Diceros bicornis minor: one gene and its partners. The protein of the gene in region 3 purifies or fractionates together with the protein of the main gene of each other region. This does not show direct contact. Links are inferred from orthologs where the notes say so. Each region holds a gene or a part of one and is shown on either strand. Other genes may lie near its edges. The genes, in order: CDC45, TIMELESS, CLSPN and ATR.

Evidence for each region.
Region 1: the proteins of CLSPN (region 3) and CDC45 purify together in Homo sapiens (affinity purification with western blotting; 4 studies listed by BioGRID and IntAct, with this or other methods). This does not show direct contact. The link is inferred for Diceros bicornis minor from reciprocal best matches to the Homo sapiens genes CLSPN and CDC45.
Region 2: the proteins of CLSPN (region 3) and TIMELESS purify together in Homo sapiens (affinity purification with western blotting; 4 studies listed by BioGRID). This does not show direct contact. The link is inferred for Diceros bicornis minor from reciprocal best matches to the Homo sapiens genes CLSPN and TIMELESS.
Region 4: the proteins of CLSPN (region 3) and ATR purify together in Homo sapiens (affinity purification with western blotting; 3 studies listed by BioGRID). This does not show direct contact. The link is inferred for Diceros bicornis minor from reciprocal best matches to the Homo sapiens genes CLSPN and ATR.

The regions. Positions count from the first base shown.
Region 1 is NC_080774.1:32,205,822-32,212,875, reverse strand, and holds the start of CDC45 (cell division control protein 45 homolog), read right to left. Parts: upstream 3,007-7,054; 5' UTR 2,834-3,006; coding exon 2,783-2,833; intron 2,658-2,782; coding exon 2,598-2,657; intron 1,742-2,597; coding exon 1,649-1,741; intron 565-1,648; coding exon 427-564; intron 1-426. Other genes in the region: UFD1 (ubiquitin recognition factor in ER-associated degradation protein 1), read left to right, coding at 3,710-3,712, 6,698-6,830. UniProt on the Homo sapiens protein: Required for initiation of chromosomal DNA replication. Core component of CDC45-MCM-GINS (CMG) helicase, the molecular machine that unwinds template DNA during replication, and around which the replisome is built.
Region 2 is NC_080756.1:12,398,553-12,406,309, reverse strand, and holds the start of TIMELESS (protein timeless homolog), read right to left. Parts: upstream 3,002-7,757; 5' UTR 2,924-3,001; intron 1-2,923. Other genes in the region: MIP (lens fiber major intrinsic protein), read right to left, coding at 5,010-5,195, 6,879-6,959, 7,396-7,560. UniProt on the Homo sapiens protein: Plays an important role in the control of DNA replication, maintenance of replication fork stability, maintenance of genome stability throughout normal DNA replication, DNA repair and in the regulation of the circadian clock.
Region 3 is NC_080752.1:50,040,471-50,047,534, forward strand, and holds the start of CLSPN (claspin), read right to left. Parts: upstream 3,011-7,064; 5' UTR 2,921-3,010; coding exon 2,897-2,920; intron 525-2,896; coding exon 419-524; intron 1-418.
Region 4 is NC_080741.1:11,310,295-11,318,240, reverse strand, and holds the start of ATR (serine/threonine-protein kinase ATR), read right to left. Parts: upstream 3,006-7,946; 5' UTR 2,926-3,005; coding exon 2,867-2,925; intron 1-2,866. UniProt on the Homo sapiens protein: Serine/threonine protein kinase which activates checkpoint signaling upon genotoxic stresses such as ionizing radiation (IR), ultraviolet light (UV), or DNA replication stalling, thereby acting as a DNA damage sensor.

The DNA of each region.
Region 1 (7,054 bases), on a different chromosome or scaffold from region 3:
ATTTTAGGCTCACGGTGGCCTCTCACACTGCTCACACTGCTATCTTGCTGGTCCCTACACCACCCCTTGGATGATCAGGGCAGGTCCAAGCCCCATTTATAGAGCAAACTCCTCTGAGATTCCGATATTCAATGAGACTGGGCTGGCCTGAGCTCCAAGGGCAGACTCAATGCAGGCTTCTGGTATCTACACCTCCCAGGTCAAGCAAATTCCACGAATGCATTCTGAGCACCTCCAAGGGTAAAGTGCCATGCTTCTCATCAAAGACAGACAAGTTCTTGTCCTCAGGCTGCTCCAACTCCTATATGGGAGGTGGATACGTGCCTTGCCAAGAACACCAGGTGCAATGTTGTCTGTGGCATTAAAAGGTACAGTCAGATCAATGGGAGAACTTGGGGGAGGCGTGGGCCCCAAAGCCCTAGTTACCTGGGTATCATTGTACACATTCACGACATTGACTGGCCTGTGAGTGTCACATACAAAAAATATGGCGTCTTCATCGGGCTGAAGGATATCCAATAGGTCTACGTTAGCTCCACAGTTTATGAGGATAAAATAACGAAACTGAAAAAAGAAGAGACATTGTGCACTAAGTGCATTGCGGAGGCCCTCTACCTCAGCATACTAGGCCTGAGTCCTTCCGCTGAGAAACATCAAGCCTCCGACACTTGGCAAGGCCCTGACAGCAAGAGGCTCCAAAAATGGCCATGGCCGGCCTGTGTTAAGAGCTTTAACATATACCATATGCTATTTCATGTTCATGATGACACCGTGAGATAGGCTCCACGCTGGCACCACGGCTGTCTCCACTTCGCTGAGGAGCATGCAGAGGGTCAGCATGGCCGAGTCTCATGCACAGGGGCAAGAAGCTGATGTGGAGCAGATCAAAACTTCAAATGCATAACTGGGCCTCTCCAGACCTCAGTCTGCTGTGCTGCCTCTCCATACTAATAGCATTGTACAGGTTTACACTTTCAGCAAATCTTGGGCAGCCTATACTTAATGGGCACCTAAATATTAAATTAAGTCTTTTATTATATCCTATCACTATAGAGAATCCTTTCCTTATAAACACCGAATTGGCACAGGTCCCTTCTGTGATGACATGAGCTCCAGGCAAGGATTTATCTCTGCCAGACAATCCTAGATGTGGCCAGAGACTCCAGGCAGCTGTGGGGCAGTGGGCTCTAAGATGTCCCACATCTCATTACAGCTCCATACAGAGGTGGTAGGAGTACTGGCCTCTACTGTTTAAATTACAAAGGGAGAAGATATGTTCCTAGATTTCTAGTTGGAAACTGGAATACATTTTCTTGGAGAGACAATGTAAAATAATGGTCTAATCTAAAATAATTTTAACTAGGCCATATCAAAAACTAACTGCTAAATTCCAAGCAGCTTAGAAAGAAATGTCAGCAACACAAGTTCAAAGTTAAAGGCTATACGTATTCACTATCTTTCTTTCGCTGTCCATTTTGTCTCCACAACTCACACGGGCATACAGCTCAGTTTTCTCTTCCGTACTGCCTAATATAGTTGATACTTACATATACATGCAACCTACTGTGGAAATAGAAAGAATGCTAAGTGTTGAGAAATTGCAATTGAGTAAAAAAAGCCTAATCATTCTAAAATATATCTCTCATACCTGTTCTTTATGCTCAAGAAATGCAGTTTCAAGTTCTTGCCACCCAGAAACTGGAATCAGCGTATACTGCACGTGGTCACACTGGAACAGGGCCTGGAGAGAGATGATTTTCAAAACCTATCTTAATTAGGGTGTCTGCAATTTCCCTTGAAATGCAGTTAAAAACAAGTGGCTGAGAGACAAATGACATGGATAAAGTAAGGTTAGTGAAATGTTAATAGGAGAAACCAGGTAATGGGGATATGAGTGTTCACTGTTCATTCTTTCAACGTTTCAACGTTGCTGAATTTTTTTAAAAACTACCAAAGGAAAATATTGGGAGAAAAGCTGGTCTTATTTTTATGTCTTCTGAGACCTAAAGTAGTTCCTGACCCAAGTGCCTGACCAAAGTTCTTGTAAACATCGCACCACACTCAAAACTGAACCAATGATCTTGCATCCTGTATTTCCAGTATTGCTTATGACACCACTGTGCACTCAGTTGTCACAGATTCCTCTGTCTCAAATCCCACATTTGAGAAGCCACTATGGGTCTATAGGTCTCTCGAATGCAGCCATTTTTTGCCTAGGTTATTGCAAAAAAACTAACTAGTCTCTGCCTTTTGCCTAATCCTTCTCAAACCTGCCCAATACTCTCCTGCCAGGGAGGTGATCTCTCAGAGTCCCCCTTCCCGGCTTTCAGTTGTCGTTGCTCCGGCCCTCACCGGAGGCCTCACTGGGAGCCTGAGTTCTCACCCCAGAGGGGGTTCTTTACCCCGCTCCTCACCTCCCGCCCGGCTGCCTACCCCACCCTGTTCCCCCCGGACGCTAAGCTTTCACTTCCCGGAATCTAAGCCTTCACTTCCCGCCCCACTCCCTGCCCACCCTGCGCCCCCACCACCCGCCCGTGCCCACCCTGCACCCTCTCCTCTCGCCCCGGCCCCACCCTCCCAGGGTCCGCAGGGCTCACTTGAAGGATCTTGCAAGCGCACAGTGCGTCCACGTCCCAAGCCACGAAGAGAAGAACCCTCTGTCGGGGGAAGAGCGGCGAGCTGAGCGCAGCGACACGAACCCGGGCCCCTCCCGCCCTCCCACGGCCGCTCCCCTTTATCCCTTCCCCCCGACAAGGCTTCAGGGTCCAAGAAAGGGGGTCACCTGGCTCTGGACCACCTCGTAGAACTCCTTACGGAAATCGGACACGAACATGGCCACAGCGGCCGGACGCCCAGAGCTCTCTCTGAGACACGGAGAGCTCCGGCCGCGGTCAAGACTCCCGCCAAATCAGAGCTCTTCCGATTGGCCTAGGGGCCAACCAATAGCTACTTAGTGCCCAGCCTTTCCTCCTTTTTGATTGGAGCATATTTGAGGCGGGCAGTAGCGCTCCGCCATTCCGCTGGAACAGTCCGGCCCTGACCGAAAAAAGCGTCATCAACAGGCGGGACGCAAACAGGGCTGTCCACTTCACCTCTGACTCCCGTTTACCCAGAAACCCGACGCTCGGTGGACATCTTTACTTTGGGAAGAGAAGCCTATAGCCTCCCACTGGGAGCTCCAAGAAAAAGAAACATTTTCGTCATGAATTAAATTAATTTATACATCGAACGGGGGCGTCAGTTTACGATGTCACTAGGCTCTCGGTCTAGTTTGAAGGAGGATGTGTAGCTTATTTCCGCCCGAGTCCTGGATGGCTGCGGCAAAGGCCGGAAGGTCTACATGCATTCTGGGTAGTGTAGTCAGTAAGGAGAATGGGCCCCACTAAACTCCTCTAGAGGGGAGTACTATCAAAATGTAATTTAAAGTAATTATAAAAATTACTCGAGAGTGGAGCACACTTTAGGAAAGGGTATTTTAGTGCTTTTTCCGGGGAAATTTTAGACCCTAGCGCCTCTGCCTGGCTTTTTCTCTTTTGCAGCCGACCCCTGCCCTCGGCGCCTCCCCCCGGGTCTCAGGTCCGGTACTTCCGGTGAGTCTCCCCGCGGTCGGAGCTGAGGCGGCGGCGGCGGCTGTGAGGAGAGCGGTCGGCGGGCTGCCATCGTTACGTTCCCTGGGCGAAGCGGCGGCAGCGAGGCAGAGGTGTCCATCATGGTAAGCGCGGCCAGGCAGGGGCCGGGAGCTGGGGCTGCGGCCGGGAGCTGGGGTTGAGGGCCGAGGCCGGGGCCCGGCGGGGCGGACGTGACGGCTACGGAGATGTCGAGTCACCCTGGCCGGAGTCCGGCCCGTCTGCCCGTCCGGGGCGCCTCGGGCTGGAGCCGAACCCTTCACCGCTAACGGCCTCGGCTCTCTCCGCTTGTGCGGAGCATGGTTCGCATTTCCTCAGTTGGACTTGAACTTCTTGAGGGGAAAAAGGAAGCTTCTAGTTGCAAGTGCTAGACACGTAGCATGTTTCCGTAAACACCAAATTAATTGGAAGGTTGTGAGGGCGAGGAGCAGAATCAGGGGCTCCCAGTGAGAATGCGCGGGGTCATCCCCTTACCCCAGTTCCTCAAGCCCAGTATTTCTTGGTCATGCCTCGAGTGTGATGATGCTTTCGGCTATTTAAGCGATTCAGTAAAGATAACAGTAGTAGCTAATATTTACTGGCCCTTTTTCCATTACGCAGCTTTTTCTTTTAACACCTACAGTTGCTCATTACAACTCATCCCGTTTAATCCTTATGAAGCACTTGGAGGCATGGGTGATCATTATTTTAACCATGAGAAAACTAAGGTTTAAAGAGGTAGATAGTTTACTTGAGGTCACAAAAGTGAGGAGTGGAAATTTGAAGCCAAGTCTATCTGGCTGCAAAGCTCAGGCTCATTACCATTGTACAGCATTGCCTCAGTGTCAGCTGTTTATTTTCATAAAAACAAGGAATGATTATTAGATTTTATCCCAGGTATGTCAGTGTTGAATCACGTTTCTATTCTCAAGTCCATGCACTTAATGGACATTGAATACCTGATAGGTCTTGGTAATATGCTAGGCATTGGGGGTGTAAAGGGAAGTAGAACTTGGGGTTGGGAGCAGCAGAGAGGGGCAGAAGGTCAGGTTCATGGGTAGATTGAAGGCAGATTGTTAGGGATATTAAGTACTTTGTGTGTATTTTACTCTGTCCTGTTGTAAAGAGAAGAAATGGCTTACATGAGTTAGTGTAGTGACAGGGCTCAGGGAGGTGCCTGCTTCTCTCCCTTCTTTCATCTGGAAATCCTGTTTCATTTGTCCTGCTTCTGGCCAAGATTTTGTTGAACAGAGTTATGCTGTTTAAAAAAAGAGAGGGAAAGGTTTGAAAACTGCTATGCTGGAGCTCCAGGGAGTGAAGAGCCATTTGAGATCTTAATCAGGAGCATGCTGTATTTGCATATTAGAAAGATAGCTGATTCAGCTTACTAATTTTGGAATTGCCAGGAAACTACCTTGTCAGTAGATGGCTTGCTCTCTACTTCATTTATATTTGGAATCAAGTCAAGAAATATTTGTCTATTGTGAGGGTTTTTTTTAACTTACGGTAAAAAACACATGGCATAAATTTATCATCTGAAACATTTTTAAATATACAGTTCAGTAGTATTAATTTTATTCATATTGCTGTGTAATGGATCTCCAGAACTTTCTCATCTAACAACAATTTCCCACTTCCCCTCCCCCAGCCCCTGGCAACAACATTCTACTTTCTATCTCTATGAATTTGATGACTCTAGGGACCTCATATAAGTGGAATCATATAGTATTTGTCTTTTTGTAGCTGGCTTATTTCACTTAGCATAATGTCCTCAAGGTTCATCCTCCATGTAGCATGTGACAGGATTTCCTTCATTTTTCAAGCTGAACAATATTCCATTGTATGGATATACCACAATTTGTTTATCCATTCATGCTTCAATGGACACTTAGGTTGTTCCACCTCTTGGCTATTGTAAATAGTGCTGCTGTGAACATGAGTCTACAAATATCTCTTCAAGAGCCTGCTTTCAGTTCTTTTGGATATATACCCTATTGTGCAATTTTGTATTCTTTTTTTTAAACATCAAGGGAATTGCAATACTTTGAGAAGACCCCAGATTGCTGTGTAACGTGTTTTCTAAGCCTCATTGTAATCCACAATGTAAGAGCTGAGATCTTACCTTTTTGATGACACCACATCTTGGCTTTACTTATTAACAGGAGGGAGTACCACAGTGTAGCACATGAGAGCACAATGGAGGGGCACCAGCCCAGACCTTGGGCAGAGCAGGGAAGGTTCCTGGAGCAAGGAAAGGGTGGTCATGAAGCCAGGAGAACGGGAAGGGGTGCAAACACTGGGCGCCTGCTCTTGCTGCTGCCTGGAATGCCATTCCCTGCTTTCTGCCTGGCTCCCTTTCCTGGCATTCAGGTCTCTGCAGAGTCCCTTCCTGACCACCCATCTAAAATAGCATTCCCAGGAGGTCTCTGTCCCTTACCTCTCTTGTCCTCAGAGCTTTCATCACTGCCAGACATGCAGGCATTTTCTTTTGCTTGTTTCTCTCATCTTGAATGTTGGCTCCACCAGGGCAGAGATTGTACCTGTTTTGTTGGTGAGCAGACATCACTAGAGTGATGTTTCCCGAGTGCTTAAGTCAGAGCCTGGCAGATAGTGGGCACTCAATAAATAGAGATTTTTTAAATTAATGAGAAGAGGAAAAGTGTTCCAGGTGGAGGAACCAGCCTGGCGGGGACGTGGCAGGTGTAGGAGATTTTGGGGCCATCAGTAACCGGTCCCTGAGGTGGGTGCAAGGTCTGGCTTGGATCCTGTGGTGTTTGGGGGCTGAAAGAGATTAAGGACAGGCTTGATGTGGCTAGTTTTATATTTTAGTATGTTCACACCATCTGAAAACAGTGGAGACTAAATCGGAGAGATGAGACTTGGCATGGAAGAATGTGTAGAACAGAGAGATTTGAGATTCACTGTGCTGCTGGGAGGTGTTCAGGCAGACTGCTCTGGTCCATCAGGATTTGGGGGCATCTTGTTCTTTGATGATGTTTAGCGGCATTAACTACCCTGACCTGTTTGGGCTTTGACGAGAAGAAATGTACCTTTGTTCTGTTCTAACTCCGGCATTTCTTTCCTCCTCCTAGTTTTCTTTCAACATGTTTGACCACCCGATTCCCCGGGTCTTCCAGAACCGCTTCTCCACACAGTACCGCTGCTTCTCCGTGTCCATGCTTGCGGGGCCTAATGACAGGTCAGATGTGGAGAAAGGAGGGAAGAGTATGTGCTTGTTTTTATTTTGAATAGTAACCTTTCCTGCCCTCAGCCTGCAGTGCTTATAGTCCTCAACAGTCCTTATTTTGCATGTATAACCAGAGCTAGTTACAGTGAAAATGTTGCTTGCCTCAGGCCTGCTGGTGGGGGTGGGGGGAATCCTAATTATGATTAGATTTATGGCTAGTAGCCATTAGGTTCCTCAAAGTAAATTCTAGCAAGTAAATTCT
Region 2 (7,757 bases), on a different chromosome or scaffold from region 3:
ATACCATGTTATACTAATGAATAGCATTCTCTATCTATGTCTCAAAGATACCTCACAATCAACATCTCCAAAACAGAACATCTTCTCCCCAGGTTTGTCTCCACTTCTCTTTTGGACCTCTCAGGGACTGACACTATCCGTGCAGTGATTCACATAAGAAACCTAGGAGTAATCCTAAATACTTTGAGTCACTGACTCAGGCCAATTCCACCTCCTTAAGATCTCCTCTCTGGCCCCTGTCCATCCCCATTGCTACTGCCTTAGTTCAGGTCCTGAGTATCTCTTGCTTAGATTCCTCAACTGCTTCTTAACCTCCTTCCCTGCCTCCAGTCTTGTTCTCTTAAATCTATCCACAATATGGATACCAGATTTGGCCATATAACCACCCTGCTTAAAACCCTTCAATGGATACACAAGAAACTTCAGGGCCTGGCCCCGTGGCCGAGTGGTTAAAGTTCCACACACTCCGCTTTGGTGGCCTGGGTTCACAGGTTCAGATCCCGGGCGCAGACCTACTCCACTCACCATGCTGTGGCAGTGTCCCACATACAAAGCAGAGGAAGACTGGCACAGATGTTAGCTCAGGGCTAATCTTCCTCAACCAAAAAAAAAAAAAGAGGATGATTGGCAATGGATATTAGCTCAGGGGTAGTCTTCCTCAGCAAAAAAAAAAAAAAAAGAAGAAACTTCACAGCGATTGTCTCTGAGGAGAACTGGAGAATGGGAGGGCCTAGGGTAGGAGAAATATTTATCTTTCACTTCAGTACTATTCGAATTGTTTACCGTTAGCATGCACTACTATACAAAACTAAAGTTTCAGTGGCCCCCATTGCCTACAATACAACATTCTTCACGATCTGCCTGCTGGTTACCTTTCAAGCTTCTCTCTCAAGACACTCTGCCCAGAATGCCTTTCTCTCATCCACCTAGAGTCTATCCACTCATCTTTTAAGACTCTGCCCAAATGACACTTTTCCTGATTTCTCTATACAAAAGCGACCTCTTTCTCCTTTGTGTCCACTTTGTGCCGTAAACAGACTTCCATCATGGTGTTTACAGCTCAAATTGTATATAATACTTAGACTATTTAAAACGTCTGTCTCCGTCCATTAGCCTTAGATTCCCTGAGGGCAGGAGTTGTTTCTTATTCACCTTTGAATTTTCAGAGTCTAGTGACTGAATCAGAATTTACAGAGGGTGGGTCTTGGACAAGACTGTTTTGAAAATGCTCCTCAGGTGATTCTAACTCAATCTCCTGTAAACAACTGCACTGAAATATAAACTCCTTGAGAGGCCAGCCCGGTGGTGTAGTGGTTAAGTGCGGGTGTTCCGCTTCAGCAGCCCAGGGTTTGCAGGTTCAGATCCCGGATGCGCACCGACGCACTGCTTGTCAAGCCATGCTGTGGTGGCGTCCCATATAAAGTAGAGGAAGATGGGGATGGATGTTAGCCCAGGGCCGGTCTTCTTCGGCAAAAAGAGGAGGATTGGCGACAGATGTTAGCTCAGGGCCGGTCTTCCTCACACACACAAAATATATATATATATTATATACATATATAAACTCCTTGAGGTCAGGAATTATTGTGACCAGAACAATGTAGGTGCTCAATAAATGCTTTCTAAACTGAAGTAGACAAGTCTCAAAGTTGAGAGAGAGGTTGGGGCTGGAGATTTGGAGGCATCAGTTTATAAAATGGTATGTGACGCTGTGAAAGTACATCAGAATACTCAAGAGAGTTCGGAGTGGGAGGAGTAAGGAAGCCAGGGCAGACTTCTTTGTCAGCCGGTAACTGCAGAGGACTCATTTACATGTATTTTTCCTTCCAGACTACGAGTTCCTTCAGGGCAGAAACTATTCTATTCACCTCTGTCCACCTGGTACTGAGCACACTGCACAGTGCATGTTAGGAGCTCAGTGACCTTTTACTGAGTTGTCTAAGTGCACTGATAATAGAGGGAGGTAAAACACCTCAGAGAAACAAAGAAGTGACTACTTTGGCCTAGAAGGGCTAGAAAAATAGAGGTTTTCAGAGGGACAACTGAGTTCAGTTCTGAAAGAGAAGTTCATTTGGCAGAGAAGTGGCCAGAACTTCAAGTAGAGGGAACAGCAGGAGCATAGGTACCCAGGCATGAAAGAGCACAATGCAGATATGGGGCTGGGAGTCAAGTGCATGAGACAGTAAAAATGTGAGGGAGCTTTCGAAATTGAGGCTGAGAGGGTCAGGCCCAGACTAAAAGACCCTGACCCTCTCAGCCCACCTAAGGATTTAAGCCTGACTGTGAGTAGCCAAAGAGGAGTTGTAAATTTAATCTGAAATGACCAGATTGCCTTTTTATAAAGGTAATTAGTGGTAGCATGAAGGGCCGAGTAAAGAATTGAGAGACTCAAGGAAAGGAGCTTAATTAATGGCTGATGGTCCAGCAAACAAGCCCAAGCAGAGGCTATCCTCCTTAAGTCTTATACCGGAGGGAAAGAACGGAAGAGAATGTTAAATCCATCCTATGAAAACCCAAGATTTAAGTCAAGCGAGCTGGGAATTCCGACTGCTGCTGACCACCAAGCTGCACATCTGGTTTTTCCCGTCTGAACTGCTTGGGGAGTCGCCAGGTGGAAATGCCCGGGAACTTTCTGTTCTACTTCAGAGCGTCCTAGCCTCTTCCCCTCACAGCCCCACCCCCGCACGAGGACCAAGCTGTGCAGAAGGGCGCGGGGAAGAGGGAGCACCCTGGACGAGCGGGGAACCCTGAGCAGCTACCGCGGACGCAGGGTGGGCCACTGCGCGTGCGCGCCTAAAGCGCGCGCCCCGCCCCCTGCCCTCAAACCAGGCGGCGGGAAAGGGGACTCAGCGCCTCCCAGGAGTGTCCCCGCGGCTTCGAAGGGATGTTGCCCGCTTAGAGCCCTCTCGCCCACACACTCACTCACCCGCTCCCCGCCGGCGCTCAGGATCCCCGCGGAACCCCGGCCCTCACGCGTGGGACCACAGCCTTTCCCGCCACTCGGCTTGGCAGGCCCAGTCCCCGCCTGCATGGCGAGCGGGGCGGGGCGAGCCGGGCTGGTCCATGTGACCCCGAGGGGCAGGGCGGTTAGTGATGAAGTAAGGAAAAGGGAAGCAAGTACAAGTACCGTTTTATCTGAGTCGATCCCCTACATTGAGCCAAAAATCACAGCGCTATGAATTTTCTGCTGACTTAAGAAAATAGGAATCAAAGTCCTATTAGAGGTGAATTTACAAACGTTCTTCCCCTTCTCCTAGTCAAGTGGATTATTCCAAAGTCTTATAAGATTAATTAGAAAAATGAGGTTTTATTTGGGAGGAAGTGGAGAGTTGAGCTACCGGCAAGAGTGGACTTTTTGCGGGGCGGGGATGTCTGTCATCTAGAGGTACAGGCCCAAAGTTTGCGAAGTATGCAGGAAGCTCCTAAAAGGAAGACATCCACAATAACTATTCATTGGTCAGTTGAGGGTCTCCTTTGGCCTCTGCTGAGATGAGTGTATATTGCCAACAACAAAAGAAGATAGGGTTCAAACGAATAATTATCTCCTGAATTGTTAAGCGTTTTAGTACAAGGAATTGATTTCTGGGGAATAAGGAGAGTTAGAAGAGATTTGCTGGGCTGGCCGGATGGCATAGTGGTTAAGTTTGCATGCTCGGCTTCGTTGGCCCAGGGTTGGCAGGTTCCGATTCCCTGGGCTGATATACGCACCGCTTATCAAGCTATGCTGTGGCAGGCGTCCCACATATAAAGTAGAGGAAGATGGGCAGAGATGTTAGCCCAGGGGCAATCTTCCTCAGCAAAAAGAGGAGGATTGGCAAAAGATGTTAGCTCAGGGCTAATTTTGCTCACAAGAAAAAAAAAAAGAGAGAGAGATTTGCTGAAGATGGAAGGACAGATGAGAGAAAAGTGAAAAGACACACAAAAAAGGAAAATAAAGACGACTATAAAACTAGTGATAAAAGTAGAAAGATGCCATTTGAAGAATGTTTTGATCTGCTCTAAGTAAATTAAAACTCTGAGGGTCTAAGCCTCTCCCTGCTATGCCCACTACCCACCTCTGCATTTGCTCCAGGCATCCCATTTCCTGTTTTGGCATTAGGGAGCTCTTCTGGGGCTTAAGTACCACCTGCCTGGAGGCCACGCTGGAGGAATATCAGGCAGATCAGTTAAACTACTTAATTTTTCTAGATTCTAGGTTCACCCACCCCTTGTTTAGGTTGGGAGCTTGCTGGCCCAGGGCCTCCAAAGAGATCCATCATGCCAGAATGAACACAAAACCCAGCCAGTGGATGTCCACAGGTTTATGTGGCTTTACAGAACAGTTCAAAGTCCAGTGTTCGCTTTTCTCAGAGCTACTTCCCCACCCAAGTCCCTGGGGCAAGCATCCCTGAGATAAATACACTACATTCTCCGATTAACTTTCCCAAAATTTTCTGGTACAATTGCAGCCTGATCTGGGGCTAGTACCTCCATTTCCTCTCTCCCTGCCCCCGGCCCCTTCTCCCAACCCTTGGAATGCTTTGTCTCCTCCACTTCTCTCCACCTGCCTCTTGTGAGGAGTACTCCCTGCTTCCCTGCTCCCTCAGAAACCTAGAGCCATACACAGGACTAGCAGCAGGGTGAAGGCCAGAAGCTTAAGATCTTGGTTCCCTATGCTCAGCACACCGGGTTGGGAGAGGAAGGTATAGGATGACACCTCCTTTCCCTTCCCTACCTCTCCTGCCATGCCCCAGAACTCAGACACAGCCACATTCAGTCACATTCATACACACAATCATGCACACACAGCGGCAAAGAGAGGTGGGATGGGGAGGAAGGGAAGTTTGTACCAACCAGCTCATGAATGCAACTTGAAAGATTTCACACAGCAAAAGGCAAAAAACACACACACATAAATTAAAAAATAAAGAAGTACATGCCCCTCCCCACAGCCTCTTTCTTCATCCAGGGGCTGGGTCAGCCCTTCCATGTAAACCCGGAAGCTTCCTACTCCCTCTATGCCACTGGAGCTTCTACAGGGCCTGGGTCTTCAGTTCAACAGGTTCCCCTGTGCTCTCTGGTTGTCCATTGGCGTCATTGGGCTTGGTACCCTTGAGAACAGACAGTCTCTCAGAAACACTTTTGAGCCGGGGGAAGAGGAGAAAGTCGTAGAGGAGACTGCCCAGGCCCCCTCCAATGATTGGACCCACCCAGTACACCTGTAGGAAGAGAAGAGGAGTAATCAGATTTGGGGAGGGGACCAGGAACAAGGCTGCTCTTTTTCCAACCCCATCGGTGGAAAACAGGCATCCTGCACTTGGCGCACACAGTTGAGCACTATTTAAGCAGAAATCAGTGTTTGTTTTTAAACTCTGGACTGCTCCACTGCCTGCACCTCAAAAATCACCATTTCTTTTCTGACTCATCAAATTATACCTTATCCCACACCTTCTTAGCACATGTATATTCTATTTGTTGTTATCAGTTTGCAGTAGTTTATATATTGCTTTGAAAAAAATTTTTTTTAATTGTGGTAAAATACACTTAACTTAAAATTTACCATCTTAACCATTTCTAGGTGTACAGTTCAGCAGTGTTAAGTATATTCATGTTGTTGTGCAGCAAACCTCAAGAACTTTTTCATCTCGCAAAACTGAAACTCTATACCCATTAAACAACAACTCTCTATTTTCCCCTCTCCCCAGCCCCTGTTAACTACCATTTTGCTTCGTTTCAATGAATTTGACTACTCTCGATACCGCATATAAATGGACTTATACAGTACTGGTCTTTTTTGTGACTGGCTTATTTCACTAAGCGTAATATCCTCAAGGTTCATCCATGTAGTAGCATGCATCAGAATTTCCTTCTTTTTTAAGGCTAAATACTATTCCACTGTATGTATATACTACATTTTGTTTATCCACTCATCTGTGAGGGACACTTGCATTGCTTCCACCTTTTAGCTATTGTGAATAATGCTACCATGAAAATGGGTGTACAGCTTTGAAAAACTTTTTGAATTGTTTTCTTATGTTTGGCTGGCGTATGGCCAAACAACACAAACATAGCCAATTTTTATTTATTTATTTTTTTTGTGAGGAAGATCAGCCCTGAGCTAACATCCATGCTAATCCTCCTCTTTTTGCTGAGGAAGACCGGCTCTGAGCTAACATCTATTGCCAATCTTCCTCCTTTTTTTCCCCAAAGCCCCAGTAGATAGTTGTATGTCATAGCTGCACATCCTTCTAGTTGCGGTATGTGGGACGCGGCCTCAGCATGGCCGGAGAAGCAGTGCGTTGGTGCGCGCCCGGGATCCTAACCCGGGCCGCCAGCAGCGGAGCGCACGCACTTAACCGCTAAGCCACGGGGCCGGCCTGCCAATTTTTATTGAGGACTTATTCCATACCAGATTCTGTGCTAAATATTTCACACATACAGCTTTCACACTTATTCTTTGTAACACCCCCATTTTATAGTAAGGAAACTGAGGCACAGAATGATTGAGTTATTTGCGATGGTCACACACAAGGCTGGTAAAGTGCTAGAACAGGGACGAGCCCAGGCCCATTTGTGCTCATACACAACCTGATCTCTGAGAGTAGAAGTTTTTGTCTTCCTGTTCAGTTGTCTGTTCTAGTACTAGTTTTGGAATCCAGTGGATACTTAATAAAAATGCCTGACTAACCAGCAAAGGAACAATATGAGCAAGAGCCTCTCTTTCTAGCAAAATAAAGAATCCTGCTCACACAGGCATGCCAAACTCTGTGACAGCCCCCTTAGTGTTGAGTGGTGGTAGAACAGTCCACACATCCAGAGGGAAAGCAGGAACCACACCTGGAACCTGCAGTCTATACCCATCCAGGAGGGCTGCAGGATCTTGCCCCTCTCCCCTCACTCACCCAGTGGTTGGTGAAGTTTCTGGTGAGAATGGCAGGAGCAAAGGAGCGGGCAGGGTTCATGCCTGCACCAGTATAGTACATCTGCAAGAGACACAGTTGTAACTGAGACATTTACCCCTACTCCACCTCAGCTCCTCTTCCCACAACCCGCATGCCCCTGAAGGCTGGCACCTTGCCTCCAGCCAGCAGCCAGTAGGGAAGGACAACCTGCATGGGGGTCCCACAATGGAGTGAAGGCACTGATGCTCCATCTGGGGACAGACTACGGATCCATCAGCAAAGCCCACATCTACCCATGATGCATGCATTACCACCTTGGGGTCCAGAAGGACTAGCATAGCAGTCACAAGAGAGAGAGGGCTAGAGCAGAGTTGACTCCTCTGTGCTGACTGATACAGAGGGAGGTGGATAATGTTCATGTTCAACAGTGAGCTGGGCAGGAAGAAACTTAAAAGTTGGGAAAGGTGTAGGGGCCCTGGAATCCTTAAATGAGAAGTTGTTCCCCTCTCCTGCTTACCCCAAAGAGGTGCCCCAGGGTGAGGGAGAAGCCAACGGCCAGGGCCATGGAGCCCAGGCGGCCATTCCGCCTCTCGTCGTACGTGGCAAAGACGCAGAGCACGAACTGGAGCGTCAGGAAGATCTCCACTGTGGTGGCCTGGCCCACGCTCACCCCAGGGTGCAGCTGGGCAAAGGAAGAAGAAGGGAGGCAGCTCATTAGGGCTGCCACAGTGTTAGCTCCTCAAAGCTTCCCAGGCGGGAAGCCCTTATGGCATCAGTTCCCTGGAGAGGAAGGATAATACATCCTCCTTCATAGTAATTGCATTTCTCTTTTAATTTCTCCTAATAATACTCCTTCTTGGTGGAAAAATTGCACCCACT
Region 3 (7,064 bases):
ATGTAACTATCACCAAGAACTGATTGTAGCAAAGCAAATCTAAAAATACATTTTGAAAAACATTTTCCCTGGAAAAATGTCTCTTACTGAGACATGTAATTATATATATTTACAATGTGTAAAGTTGTTCTAATCCTTCTGGCAGGTGTTAAAAATCCTTTTATTATAAGACGAATGTATTCAACCAGGCAATGTGGTAGCTTCTAGACATTTCATACATTCAATAATATAATAGAAATGGGTTATTTTCAAAAAGGTACAAGCACCATTATTTTGCTTTTATAATAAATAAAACAAACAATAAGGTTAGGCATTAATAACGTAATAAATCAAGAGAATAATGAAATTAATTCGATCCACTTACAACCCAAGCCCCCACATTCTATTCCTAAAAATAAAAGTACTGACTATTACAAACCTCTTTCACTCAAGGGCCCAATTGTTTCACAGCTGCCCTGTCCACTGTCTGAAGGACTATCTGCTTCTTGTGAAATGAGTTTTGGATCATTGATTTCTAGGTGAACCTAGAAAATGAGAATATACATTAACCAGCAGGTGAAAGAAAACTAAGTACATAATAATACACAAATCATTATGGGATCATCAGGCTGAAATAAGGAAAAAAACCATACAATGGTTCAATGAAGGGATGATATTAAGAATTACTGGACAAAAAAGAAACAAAAATTCATTGTCCACCTTTGAAGGATGCTATAGAACCAACCCTTTATTTTGAGTAATGGTAAATAAATGAAAATAATTAAGCATTTATTATGCTTTTTCTGTGTAAACTGTTTCTCAGTGTATCCAAGTAACATCACAGAGACGCAATCCAGATGTGGAAAACTCTATACGACAAACTGTGTGGTTTCTTTAACAGCAAATTGCAAGAAAAAAGAGGTGGGGGGACCTATAAAGAGAGCTAAGATATATACATACACACACATATTAACACTTGCAATATGCAGACTTTGTTTGGATCCCGACTCAAACAAATTGAAAGTATATGTATGAGTCAAAGAAATCTGAACACTGACTAGATATTTAATATTAAGCAATAATTCTAAAACTTTTAGGTGTGGTAATAATATTGTGGTTATCTTTTCTGGAAAGCCCTTATTTTTTAGAGATGCATAATGAAATATTTGTGGATGAAATAATGTTTGGAATTTGCTTCCAAATAATCCGGTGAGGGGGAAAGTGGGTAGGGGTATAAATGAAACAAGACTGGCATGATTTGATAATTGTTGAGGTTAGGTGATGGGTTCATTATACCAGCCTTTCTACGTTTGCATATGTTTGAAATTTTACAAATAAAACCACTTTAAAAGTCACAAGTAAAAAAATCTCAGAAGTAGGATGTGTTAGGTGACTTAACCAGTTAGTGACCAAGCTGATCCTAGACGCCAGGTCTCCTACCTCCTCCGTGTTCTTAGGGCTCTGAATCAACTCATTAATAAGGGGGAAAATACTAACATCTGTAATGTAACAGGGCACAAGGCATCATCCTAATGGTTTCTCAAACAACTATTAAATTGATTTGAGGGCAAGCCCAGTGGCCTAGTGGTTAAGTTCAGCACGCTCCACTTGGTGGCCCGGGGTTCAGTTCCCAGGCGCAAACCTACACTGCTGGTGGGTGGCCATGCTGTGGCAGCGGCCCACATACAAAATAGGGGAAGATTTGCAACAGACATTAGCTCAGGGCGAATCTTCCTCAGCAAAAAAAAAAAACTGATTTGAATGTTTGGTACAATTATTAAAATAATAACCATAGATAATGTGCACCGAGGTATCACTGAGGATCATCATGTATGTGCTGATGATCCTCCCAACAATTCAAAGCAGTAAGACTGTCCATACAGAAACTGTATTCAATAAGGTACATGGTGATGCTCTTACTCACTCCAATCCAGACAATTTGCAGTGGTACTAGCAACAATCAGGGCCAGGAAAAGGGTGAGAAGAGAGAGTCTCAAAAACCCATCAGTAATCAAGATAATATCTTAGTGCAATATTTAAAAGAAAAAATCAAATTGGCAAACTATGGCTCATGAGGTCAGCCGCCTGCTTATGTAAGTAAAGTTTTATTGGAACCAGGGCCGGGATTAGGGTGAGGTGAGTTAGGCAGAGCAGTGCAAGCGCAAGGTCGGATCTTGTCTTTATTTAAAAGTTTGATATTTTGTTCAAAATCAAATCATGGAATCTTTTGCATTAATTTTTATTTAAAAAATATTGCGTTAAAATATTATCGTGATTACTTTTTTTGGCGAAGCCTTAAATTTTGCTCCCAAGGCGAGTGTCTCACCCTAGCCCCGGCCTCAGGGTGAAACACAGGTCTGGAAACAGATGTCGTTTCTCCGCCAAATTCTGCCACCGACCAGTCAGCTACCAGCCAGGAGGCCGTGAGACTGTACGTCCCCTCTCGGGGCCCCGTGTAATGACCTCAAAGGCCCCTTCCAGAGCCAATGTCGAATTCCCTGAGACCCCCGCCGTCCACTGACACAGAATCCCGCCCCGCATCCCAGCGGCCCGGTTCAGCCTGGAATTTCCTCTTTTGGGGCGCTGTAGGAGGAAGAGCTCCCTCGGCAGGAAACGCGCCAAAGGGGAGGGCGGGTGGGCGGCTGCAGGGGCTGGGCGCGCCACAAAGACAGGAGCAACAAGACCGAGAGGGCCGAGGCAAGAACCCCAGCTCCAGGACTGGACGGCGGAGTCGCGAGCCCCCGGGGACAGCGGGTTGATCCCGGGGGGCCGCGAGGCCGAGCCGCCGCAGAGCACGCCGGGAGCTGTAGTCATCCCAGACGCCGCCGCTGGCTTTGCCCGGCTCGACCCCGCTCCCACCCCACCCCTCGGCGCCGGACCCCCGCAGCCGCGGATGGAGGCATGTGCATGAACTCACCTCAGAAACCACTTCGCCCGTCATGACTCTGGCCTCCCCAGCGCTCCGCTCCGGACGAAGCAGTTCTCCGGTTCCCTGAGCCGGGGCGCAGCTGCTCCCGCCGTCTCCAGCCCCGCAGCGCCGTTCGAGCTTTCGCGCCCAGCCGGAGTGCAAGCCCCGCCCTCGACGATTTGCACCAATCCGGAGGAGGTTTTCTACATGAGGCCACGCCCCCATCCCGTCCTACCAATCACGAAGCGCCTTCGGCCAGCCCTACAAGTATACAGTACTGTAATCAGGGTTGGGTTGGCGGGTGGAGGGTCCTCTTGTCAACTGAGTTTAGGGGAGGCTAGAGGTGTCCTGGCTGCCGGGCAGTCGGGCCCTCTGGCCTTGCAAGGCTGTACCATGCAGTTGTGGACTTTGACCTTTGCCCTTTGCCATAGCGCGACAGCTCCCATCAAGCGCAATTTGAGGAGTCAGCCCTTCAGGCGGGAAGTGAGCTGGAAGAAGATACCTGGGCACCCAAGGGCATCCTTGTCCCATACTTGAGTGCCCCTGTGGGGCTTTTCTTCACGACCTCCATCCCTGGAGTAGCTAGATCCTTCCTGCCCCTTCTTGTACAAGGCACTCACACCACTGAACATCAAAAAGGAAAAGTTGTGTGGGCTGCTCAGATACCAAAGAATGTCCTTGGATAACCTTTATAACTTTATTTAAGGTTAATTTGAGGATGCAGAAAACACCCACCCATCGCACTCCTACCCTCTCTGGACAAGGCAGGTAAGAGAATAAAAGGTCTGGAGTCAGACTAATCCCAGACAATTCTATCCCTTGTCCCTGTGCTGGTTACTATCTTTTTGCCCCTCCAGGTCTATTCTCTGTCTTTCCTTATCCTGCTCTGTCCAGCCAAGGCTGACTTCTCCCCACTGCATTGGCAGAGCTCCCTTGCCCTTCCAGTTGAGTCAAGCTACCGGAAGATACTTTACAAGATTACTGTAAGGAAGGGATCAGAGGGCACCAAAAAAGAAAGATCACAGTAGTTACTAACCCCACCCTACCCCCATGAGTCTATCCACCGGTGGGGTGCCCAACTCACCCCAATTTTCCCAGGACTTTCCCAGTTTTAGCATCCTGGGAATATCCTCTGTCCTAGGCAAACCAGGATGGTTAGTCACCCTCTCCACTGGCCTCTTCTTCCAAGTTTCCAGCTTTAGCTGGGTTCAAATAAAAGTTCTCTTTCCTCCTCTTCATTTCTTCACCTCCTCACCACTTCCCAACCCACTTCTGCTCCCATCAACAGGGTCCCATCATCCATCCTCTTCTCTCACATCTCAGTCTATCCACCTTTTCACCCACTTTACTATTAATTTCTACATTGTTGATTCCCAAATATCTATCTATAGCACTCCTCCCTCATATTTGGAGGGCTAACACTTATTGGGGGCTTACCCTGTGACAGAAACAGTTGCAAGAATTTTGCAAACATTATCTTATTTAATCTTCACAGTAACTGTGTAAGGTAAGTAATATTATTATCTCCATTTTAGCAGATGAGGAAACTAAACCTTTAAAGGGCTAGTAACTGGTGGTGCCAATATTCACACCCTGCTCAATCTGACTCCAGAGCTCATACTCCAGGGACATCTTGCCTGAGCACCCTCTACATTCTCCCTCCGTCTCCTGTTCTGGTTTCCCCGATAACACTTACCTCTGCCTGAAATTTTATTTTTATCTATTTGTATATAGTTGCTCCAAGAGAACAAGCACTTTGTTCTCTTTAACACCATATCCTCACTATCTATAATAGTCGTTCACAAACTTGAGCATGCATCAGAATGATCCGAAGGGCTGGTATAAACAGATTGTTGGACCCCACTCCCAGAGTTTCTGATTCAGAATGTCTGTTGTGAGGCCCAAGAATTTTTTGCTAACAAGTGCCCAGATGATGCTAATGCTGCTGGTATGGAGACCGCGCTTTGAGAACCAAGGGTCTAGAACATACCTGGCTCATGGTAGGGAAACTGATCAATATTTGTTGAACTAATTAATTCCATCACTTGACAACTCTATTCTTCTTCTTGAACCCCCTCTAGAAGTGAATAAATGAGATAGTCCTGGTAGTAACATTTTCAGAACGAATTAGCATTTTCCTCTCTTTGGGGAGCACCTCTTCAGTCACCAGAGAAACTAAGAGAGAGAGCTCTGATTTGAACAATGGGTGGAAGGGGTGAGCTAGGAAGGAGAAACCTTTTATTCTATATTTTAATTTGTGCCATGCTAAAGCAAGTCTGTATTTGGAATTAGCAGTCTGTATTCTCAATTGTGGTGAGAGAATGGCGCCATAATCCATCACTCACCAATTCAGAAACCTGGGAGTCACCTTGACTCCTCTCTGTCTCTTGACTCTCAAGGTTAATCATCCAACAAGCTCTGTTTATGAAGTTGATAGATGGCAGCGAGGGAAAGATCTGGAGTGTTCACTTTATAGGAATTAGCTTGAACCTCTCCTGTAAATGGCGTTGTGAACTTCGTTAAGTCATTTAGCTTCTCAGAGCCTTAGTTTCCTTGTTTGTAATTAGAACACATTGGTTCAGAACGGGCCGGCCCCATGGCTTAGCGGTTAAGTGCACGCACTCCGCTGCTGGCGGCCTGGGTTCGGATCCCGGGCGCGCACCGACGCACCACTTCTGAGGCCATGCTGAGGTTGCCTCCCACATACAGCAACTAGAGGGATGTGCAGCTATGTCATACAACTATCTACTGGGGCTTTGGGGGAAAAATAAATAAATAAAATTATTAAAAAAAAAAAGAGAACATTGGTTCAGATCATGATTCTCAAAAGAGTTCAATTGGCAGAGCACCTAGAAGTATGGTACTCTACAGGAAATACTTTGCAGTACTGACACACTTAATCTGGTCATATAAATTAGGAAATGTTTTCACTAGTAGGATCTATTATTATATCACACATAATCAATATAAAAAAGCAAATCTGAGATTACATATCTATGAAAAAGTAAACCATGGAATTTAACATGCTCAGCCCATTCCAAAGTTCTATTTATTTGTTTGCTGGCAGGCAAACAAAAGCAGATTCCAAAGGCTTACGGAAGTTTGGAGGGAGAAAGTTGGCTAAGTTATATCTTTTACTTCATCTTTTCTGCAAATTGAGAAAGGCTACCATATTAAATTTTATTACAGTACTACTATTCCTCTGGAGGAAAGTGTGAGAACTGCTTGCTTTTCCGGAGTCCTAGGCCACTAAATCTCCATCCCTGGAGAAGCACTGCCACCATGTGGCAGAGCTTAATCATATCAGTCTATTGCCTGTAGCCACTCTATCCTAAAACCTTTTTTTTTTTTTTCATTTTAAAATTATTCGAAGAGTTGTTTAAATTTCCCTTTGGAACGGTGAAATAATTGCATCTCCCAGAATCTGCTTTCAAAAATAACTTCAGTACTGTAATTCCGTACAGTTATAAAGCTTCTCTTGGAGAGTACCCTCCTTGAAGGCCTTAATGTTTTTTCTTGCTTAATGTAGTACCCCCGACCTTTAAAAATGGCCCAGGATATGACACATAGTGGGTGCTTAATAAATAATTGTTGAGTGAATGATTAAAATACCATGGCCTAAAAAAACAAAAACAAAAAATACCAGGGTCTTTTCCCAAGGCATGACAGCACATACACCATCAGCTATTTTGTATGCAGAAGTTCCTTTACCACAACTTTTGGCAACCTAAAGTACCTATCAAATATTCATGCAGTCATTCAAAAAACCTTGAGTACCAATTTTAAGTTGCTAGATATGGAGAATATAAAGATAAATAAAATACAGTTTTGTTCTCAGAGACCTTCCCATTGCTGATTGGCAACAGGCAAGTAAATAAGTGTGTGTAATAGTGGAAGTGTGTACAAGTATCTCTGGGGCCCTGAGAGAGGGGAAACTGACTTTGCCTAGGGTAAGTCAGGGGGTGATGACTCCTGAACTGAGTTTCAAAGATGGGTTGGAATTCTCCAGGCTGGCCCAGGGAGGAGAAGGTATGTGTACGGGCTTGATAGTGCATGTTGTGTTTGGGGAACTGAAAGGAGGTCAGTATGACTAGAGCATAGGGTGTGTGTTTGGGTGGGGGTGGGGGAGAAATGGCCAGAACGAAGGCTGAAAGTTAAACGGGGAACAAAAAGTCTG
Region 4 (7,946 bases), on a different chromosome or scaffold from region 3:
GCTGAGAGGTTACTGTAATAGTCCAGATCAGAAATTATGGTGATAGCAGTAGAGATGGTGAGAAGTGTATTTTTTTGTGTGCATGTGAGGAAGATCAGCCCTGAGCTAACATCCGTTGCCAATCCTCCTCTTTTTGCTGAGGAAAAGATTGATCCTTGGCTAACAACCGTGTCCATCTTCCTCTACTTTACATGAGACGTCGCCACAGCATGGCTTGACAAGTGATGCATCGGTCCGCGCCCAGAATCCTGGCCTGTGAACCCCGGGCTGCCAAAGCAGAGCACGAGAACCTAACCTTTAGGCCACTGGGCCAGCCCCCAGAAGAGTATTTTAAAGGTAGGGTTGACAGGACTTGTTGATGGATTGAGGGATAAGAGAAAGAATCAGGGCTAACTCCTATGCTTTTGGTTGGTACATATACAATAACCTGGGGAAGGAACAGGTTTAAGGACAGTAAATCAGGAGTCCTGCTTTGGATATGTTAATTTTCATTTCCAGGTGTAGATGTTAAGTAAGCAACCTAACATATATCTCTGGGCTAGAGATAGAAATTTGGGAGTTATCAGCATATTGATGATATTTAAAGCACTGGGACTAAAGTTACTTAGGAAGAGAGTGAAGATGAAAAGAGGACCAAGGAAATAGCCCCAAAGCACTTAGAGAGTCAAGAATGATTCCCAGACTTCTGGTTTGGAAAAATGAGTGAACATGGTATCATTTACTGAGATATCCCTACCTCAGTGAATGAGAAGAATTAAAAAAAAAAAAAGCTTGGGGAGACTTGGATATGTGGAGAATTTGTACTGGATATGCTGAATCTCAACTGCACATATAACACCCAGGTAAAATTGCTAGTATATAGTTCTCTATAGTGCTACAGGAGATAGATATGGTTTGGAGAAACACACTTGGAGTCGTCAAACAGCAGATGGTAGGTGAAGGCAGGAGAGTGGATGAGATCACCCAGAAAGACTTTGCAGAGAAAAGAGTGCTAACAGCAAACAACAGAGGAGCAAAATTTAGCCCTGAGAGACAGAGGAAGAGGAGCACACACATTAGAACAGTGACATTTCGCTTTTTTCCGAAATCTAATTGTCGTAGTCAATTAAGGAAAAAAAATTGGGGAGAAGAGGCCTTGATGGTATGACTCTGAAGTCTAGCTCCGATAACTGTTGTCTCTCTGACTTTGATTCCTCAATCTCTGTGACTCAGTTTCTTAACAAATAGTGATAATATTTGCTTCATTCTATATCATGAAGCTACCGTGATATTGAACAAGCTTGAATGAAGCAGTTGCAATGAAAAAGTCATGACAATTAAAAACTAGTATTAGACATTTCTCTTTGGATCAGTTTTTCTATTCTTTCTCTTAGAATGGCTACAAATGAATGAAATGAAAGGTAACACAAGCTCTATTATGAAAGAGACTGTAAATAAATCCAAGATGCTATTATTTTTATTAACAAGTCTCACAGAGGAAGAGAGAATAGGGAAGAGAAGTATTAATCAGTTAATTCTACATGAAAGCAAAGTAGGGAAAACACACTGAGCTTCATGCTGAGCTTGAATAACGAAATGTGTCCATCAACTAACTAAAATGAGCACTTGTATTCATCTTTTAGAAAGCTAGATGTTACCCGACTAAACGTTAACGCAAAGTGTGCTTGCAACATGCATGCAAAGAAAAATTCACACACACACAGAGGATGATTCAGTTAAGACAAGCATGGTCTTTTCATTTAGCCCCTTATTTACGTAATTGAGGAAGACTAAACGTCCTTGTATGGCCAACAAGTGGAGGTGAACACAACTGCACCGCGAGTAGAAAGGCAATTAAATATCCCAGGGGCTTAACCACCGTTTTGACTTCGTTTGTGCTAAGTTTTCCAACAGTTTAAGAAACTGGAAAGCAGCTATTCCAATGGGTAGTTCCAGTGCAGTGGTGGTACAAGCCCACTTATTTCTTGTTCACAGTGGGTTACAATATTAAAAAAACAAACAAAACCCCTGCCTTCTAGTCTCGAGGCCTGTTTGAGGGACGGCCGCGTGGATTAAAGGGGACAGGAGCCATCAACACTCTCCCCTCTCTTCCGGCAGGACACTGGTTCACAGGATGTTACTCTAGGATTTACAGAAAACAAGCTTTTGCAAGTGAAACAATATTAAATTGTCTTCAGATTTTGGCAACATCCTGTGCACTTTCCATTTTGTGGACGTTGCGGCCGATCCCCGGCTTTTGACTAAAATAACGGATTGGCGACCGGGTGATCAATACCGAAGGGGTCCCATCTTCAGAACGGCCTATGGTTTCACCTCGAAAATAGAAACTACCTTTTCGAGCAACTGGCCTGCCTTACACAAAATCAGAACCAGCGATTTTTTCTGTTAAGGGCAGTTTGGGTCAAAACATAAAGCTAAAAACCCAATTCCTCCACGAGCGCTCCTAAAGACTAGAAACTGGGGAATGTCTACGGGTCAAGTCCCTCATCTAAAAGGAGAGAGGCTTTCGAGAAGCGAGTGAGTGGAGTCAAGTGACCAGAAAAGCGGTCGAAGGGACACTTCCCCCCAGCTGCAGAGGGCAGCCCCGGCTGGGGACGAGCGCCCTCGCGCCGCTGAGGTAAAGTGCGGCCGGCAGACGCCTCCCTCCCCTCGGCCTGGCTTCCCGCAGGTCCTTGGAGGCGCCCCGCGTCACCTGAACCGCCCCTCTGAGGGGAAGCGCTCCGGTCCGCCGCGGAGCATCTCCACAGGGGCCGGGGCGGAGGGGATCGGAGCCCGGACGCGCGCGGCAGGGGACGGAGAGCACGTGAAACGCCGGCCGGGCCGGCGGGGAAGGACCTGGGATCCAGGACTGCCGGGCTCGCCCTACCTGCCCAGCTCCCGCAGGGCGGGGATCATGGACGCCAGCTCCAGGCCATGCTCGCCCATGCTGAGGACGCGCGGCACTCGTCAACGACGCCGATGCGGACTGCCGGCGTCTCCACAGCTACTCCGGTGGGAAGCCGCGGCGCCCGACGGGAACTCGCGGGGTCCAAAACTCCTCCCGGAAGCCGCCGCCGGCCCCGCTCTGGAGGCGGTATTTCGTTTCCGCGTAGGACCCGGGGGAGGCCGGGAGGCAGAAAGGGGCGGGGCGAGCCGGTGGCGCGCGCTGCGGCCACCTTTCCCTGCGCGGGTTCCGGGTTAGCTCGGCGCGCTGGGGGGGCGGGGTTCGCCGAGCTTGGGTTTTAGCGGCTGCGCTCCGTGCCTCCTAGCCTAGAAGGCTCAGCGAAGCGAGTCCCGCGGATCTCGGGGAGAAAGGGGCTTGGCGGGCCCCAGCCCAGACTCGGTCGCATCACAGGTGTGAGAACTGAGACGATTCAGCGAGTCAAGGCCACCACTAGATGCCGGGTCTCCCCACGGCGTAAGGCCCTCAGGTTCCTCATTTTCCTACCGCTCTCCTGGCATCCTTGCTGAGAGATGCGGGGCAGCAGGTGGGATCCTCCCTGTCCTTTCTGTTTCAGCAGCTTTTTTCAACTTGAAGTCACTCTTCGGTTTCCTTGAGGATTCTCCTAACCTTTAATATTTCAAAAGGGATTGAATTGTATTTATGTGTGTCTCATCAGATCAGCAGCAGTACACTGAATGTCACCGTTACGGGCGTCTACCACCGACGATTTAATTTTTAAAGTAAATCAATGCATTGTGGCTGTAGACGTTTTCTAGCTCAGCCCAATTTGCTTATTCGAAAGATGGCCATCATAAGAGACTGTTAACGTGTAAAAATTATGTATTTAATCAGGCAAAGCCGTGCAGTGTGCTTACCTTTGTTCTTTGGCACGTGAGGAGAATTGTGGATGCAGTATCTAAAAAAATCAAAGTGATGGAATGACAGCCAAATATGCGCCTGCCTCAGGGATTTGGCATTTGCTGTGTACCCTCTACCTTGACCTTGAACACCCCTCTCCCATCGCCCCTCTTCAGACGTTTGCTGAAATGTCACCGGAGAGCCTCCTGTAGACCTGCACACACGCTCACACTGTGTTTTCCCCTCTATCCTGCTTTATTTTTCTTCATAGCACTTGGAAGCAAGCGATGTATTACATACTATTTTATCGACTGTCTCCTCCAATTAGAATGTAAGCTCCTTGAGAGCAGGATCTTTTTTGTTTTTTTCACTGCTTAGATACCCAGGACCTAGAACAGTGCCTGGCACATAGTTGGTGTTCAGTAAATATCTGTTAAGTAGTTGAATGCCAAGGTGGAAAGAACGTAAGATTAGGAGTTAGAGGGCCTGCGCAAGTTCTCATTCCATCTGCTAGAAACGATATTACCTCGGGAAAGTTACTTAACCTCTCGGACTTCGCTTTTTCATCTATAAAATGAGATTGATGATATCTGCCTCACATGATTATGGTAAAGATTAGAATACCATTTCTTAGTTAAGATGAATGAAATATACAACACATGCCAACAAGGATGAATCCTGAAAACGATATTGAGTGAAAAAAGCAAATTGCAAAGGGATACATAATATTGTTATATAACTTACATACCATTTTAAAACCACAAAATAAGACTTTGTGTGTTATGTATACATTCATATACGATAAAAGTATAAAAACATGGTTGGGAAGGATGTACATCAACGCCAGGAGAGTTGTACCTCTGAAAAGAGAGAGAAGGAAATGAAATGATGAGGTTTCAACATATCTGTGAGGGTTTTCTTTTAATAGGATCTGAATTAATCATGACAAATTTAACATTTGTTATATTTGGGTGAATGTCATATTACTATTTTTATCTGTATGGTTAAGATATCCCAAAATGTATAAAAAATAAATATGCTTTTTAAAGCTTAAGTTAGACAACACATGTGAAAAACAATTTATCAACTAAAAAGTAACAAATGTTAGGTATTATTTTTAGATCATATGAAGAAAGATTGTAAAAATTACAATGTTATATGGGAGGCAATAGCGGAATAGCATTGTAATTCTAAAACACAGTGTAAACCCCTAAATGTTAGAAACAATAGAGCTTTGCGAATCCAGTTTAATTCAAAAAGTGATTTTTGTGCAAGGTATTGTGTTAGGTACTTCTATGACACAAAAATGAGTAAGACAGTTTCAAATAGTATACAATCTGGATGTAGAAAGGGTATGATAAGAACCCAGAAAATTAAAAGCAAAGCAACATCTATGAATGCCATAAGAGAGATATGAACAGCATGCACTGGAAAAATAGAGGAGGCGGCTGGCCCTGTGGCCTAGTGGTTAAGTTCTGTGCGCTCCGCTTTGGTGGCCTGGGCGTGGACCTACACCACTTGCCAGTGGCTGGGCTGTGGCTATGACCCAGGTACAAAATAGAGGAAGATTGGCAACAGATGTTAGCTCAGGGCGAGTCTTCCTCAGCAAAAAAAAAAGAAAAAGAAAAATAGAGGAAGGAGAGATCATATCTACTCCAGTGGAAAGGAGGTGGATCAGGAAGGGGCTCAAGGAGAATGTGGCACCACATCTGAGATGAGATGTGAAAGATGAGCAGGACTTGAAGAGACAAAGATTGGAGAAAGGACTATATTCTAACTAGAGGCAGCACTATGAAAAAAAGCATACTGAGGGAGAGAAGAGTGGTCCAGTTTGGCTGGTGTTAGGAAACATTTAGAGTCGTCCAACTGAGACGCTTCTACAGACCTCAGTGAGCAATGGAGAGGCACTGGAAGATTTTATATAAAGAGCGACACTGTCAAAGCTACACTCAAATCTAGCAGGAAGGTGCAGGACAGAATAAAAGGAGGTGGTAGGTCATTTAGAGAATCAAACTTCTTTAGCAGTGTATCAATAAAGGAGCAATTGATGTCATTCCAAGCAGATATCCTCCCTCCAGTAGCCATATGCGTCTCTCCTCCACCAAACTTTTTGAATTTTTCATACAGGCTGACTATATTTCCTCATCTACCACTCAGTCCTAACCTACATACACCATACTCTTTGCCCTGTTCGCCCCCTCTTAAACACCTCTCACCAAAGTCACCAATGATTTTCATACGGCTAAATCCAAAAGATGCTTATCAGTTCTTTCCTTTCTTGACCTCTCAGTAGCATTTGACAACATAGACTAATGCCTCCTTCTTGGAACACTGACTTCCTTTAGCCTACAAGATTCATTCTCATGTTAGCAACACTTCCTTTGCCATCCCCTTAACTGTTGGTATTCCTCGGGATTCTAACTTAGCTTCCTTTTTCTTTTTTATGCCTAGGTGACCTCATTCACTCTTAAGGCTTCAATGAACTTTCCACCTGCTGGACACTCCCAAATTCTTTGCTTCTGCTCAGATCTCTCTCTGAGCTTTATATTTCATATGTCTACCTTCCTACTGATTTTTTTTCCCTTGAATTTCTCCCAGGCACTTTATTTTTGTTTAACTTTTTATTATGGAAAGTTTCAAATATATACAAAAGTAGAGAGAATAAAATAAGGAACCCCCTTATGCTCATCACCCAGCTTCACCAATCAGCATATGGCTGCTCTTTGTTTCGTCTATAACCACCCCTCCCATTGCCCCTCTCCCTAATTGGATTATTTTAAAGAAAATCCCAGACATCATATCAATTTTTCTGTAAATACTTCAGTTCATATCTTTAAATGGTAAGGACTCAATTCTACCTCCTAAATATCAAACCTATCCACTTCCCTCCAAATCCTATTACCACCATTCTAGTTTCAGATAATCACTGTCTCTTGCCCAGATTACTTCAGCAGTGTTGTAGGTTGCCTCTCTTCCTTTGGGCTTTTCCCTCCAATCTATTCTCTTCACTGCGAGATTCCCCAACTTTTTTTGCTCACTCAACAATATTGTTGAAATTTTAAAAGTATGCACCCTAATATGTGCATATTTATTTATTAACCATATATATTTATTACTATATTTTAATATACATATAACTCATGATAATGTAAATTTGGACATAGTACAACTGTTGATTGGTTCCTGTCTTCCTCTCACCGCCCCCTGCCCTTTTATCATTTGGTGTGGTGGAGTGTGAAGGGAGAGTGAGGCAGGAAGAAGAGAGGCTGAGGTGGGTCCCAGTGTCCTTGGGACGTTAGTATTTCCTAAGCCCCAGTGTCCCAGATCAAGTCAACCAAGGGGCGCCAACCAATGTCCTCCTGGAAGTTTCATACAGCATGTATATGGAATTGTCCCCATTGTTGATTAAACTAGGATGGGAAATGACCATCAGGTGGCACCACAACCCAAGTGAGACCAAGATGCAGTTGGTTCTCAGTCAGATGCCCAAACTCCTGGCTGCCTAGCTCTGCAAGTTCCATCATAATGCATTGGATGTTTTTTACCCATTTATGGTATTACGTGAGGATTTTACTGTATAATTCACATTATAGTATAGATTAAAATAGAAATCTTCAAGGAATGAGATAAAAAATATGAACAATTTTATAAGTTTCTTTCTATACCTGAATGGTTCAATGTACACCTCCTTGGTACAGTTATACTCAATAATTTGCATTTAAATACTTTTTAAAAATTATTTATTAGTTAATAGTTTGCATTTTTAATAATCTATAAAAATTTGCTCCTAGGTGATGCTCATGTTGTTTGGAGTTCTACACAGCAGACGGAGCAACCTTTTCAAAACCTAGATATGATTATGCCATTCCCTGCTTCAGCAGTTTGACTGTGTTGAATATTGTCAGACAGATTAATGGGTAGAAAGGGGCACATGTCTGTTGGTTGTCATTGGATAAAGCTGCAATTAACAGACCAACATAACCATAAGTCAACATCCCGAAACTTAATAAAGCAGAATAAATGATCCTGTACAGCCAAACTGCACTGATGCACTTGTCCCGTTTAGTAGACACACTGCAAAAATCCATTACCAAACCTATCTAGTTCTTGTAGAGGAACTTATTTAAGAAACTTAAAAGTAAAGCTATTTGTCTTCCTATCCATG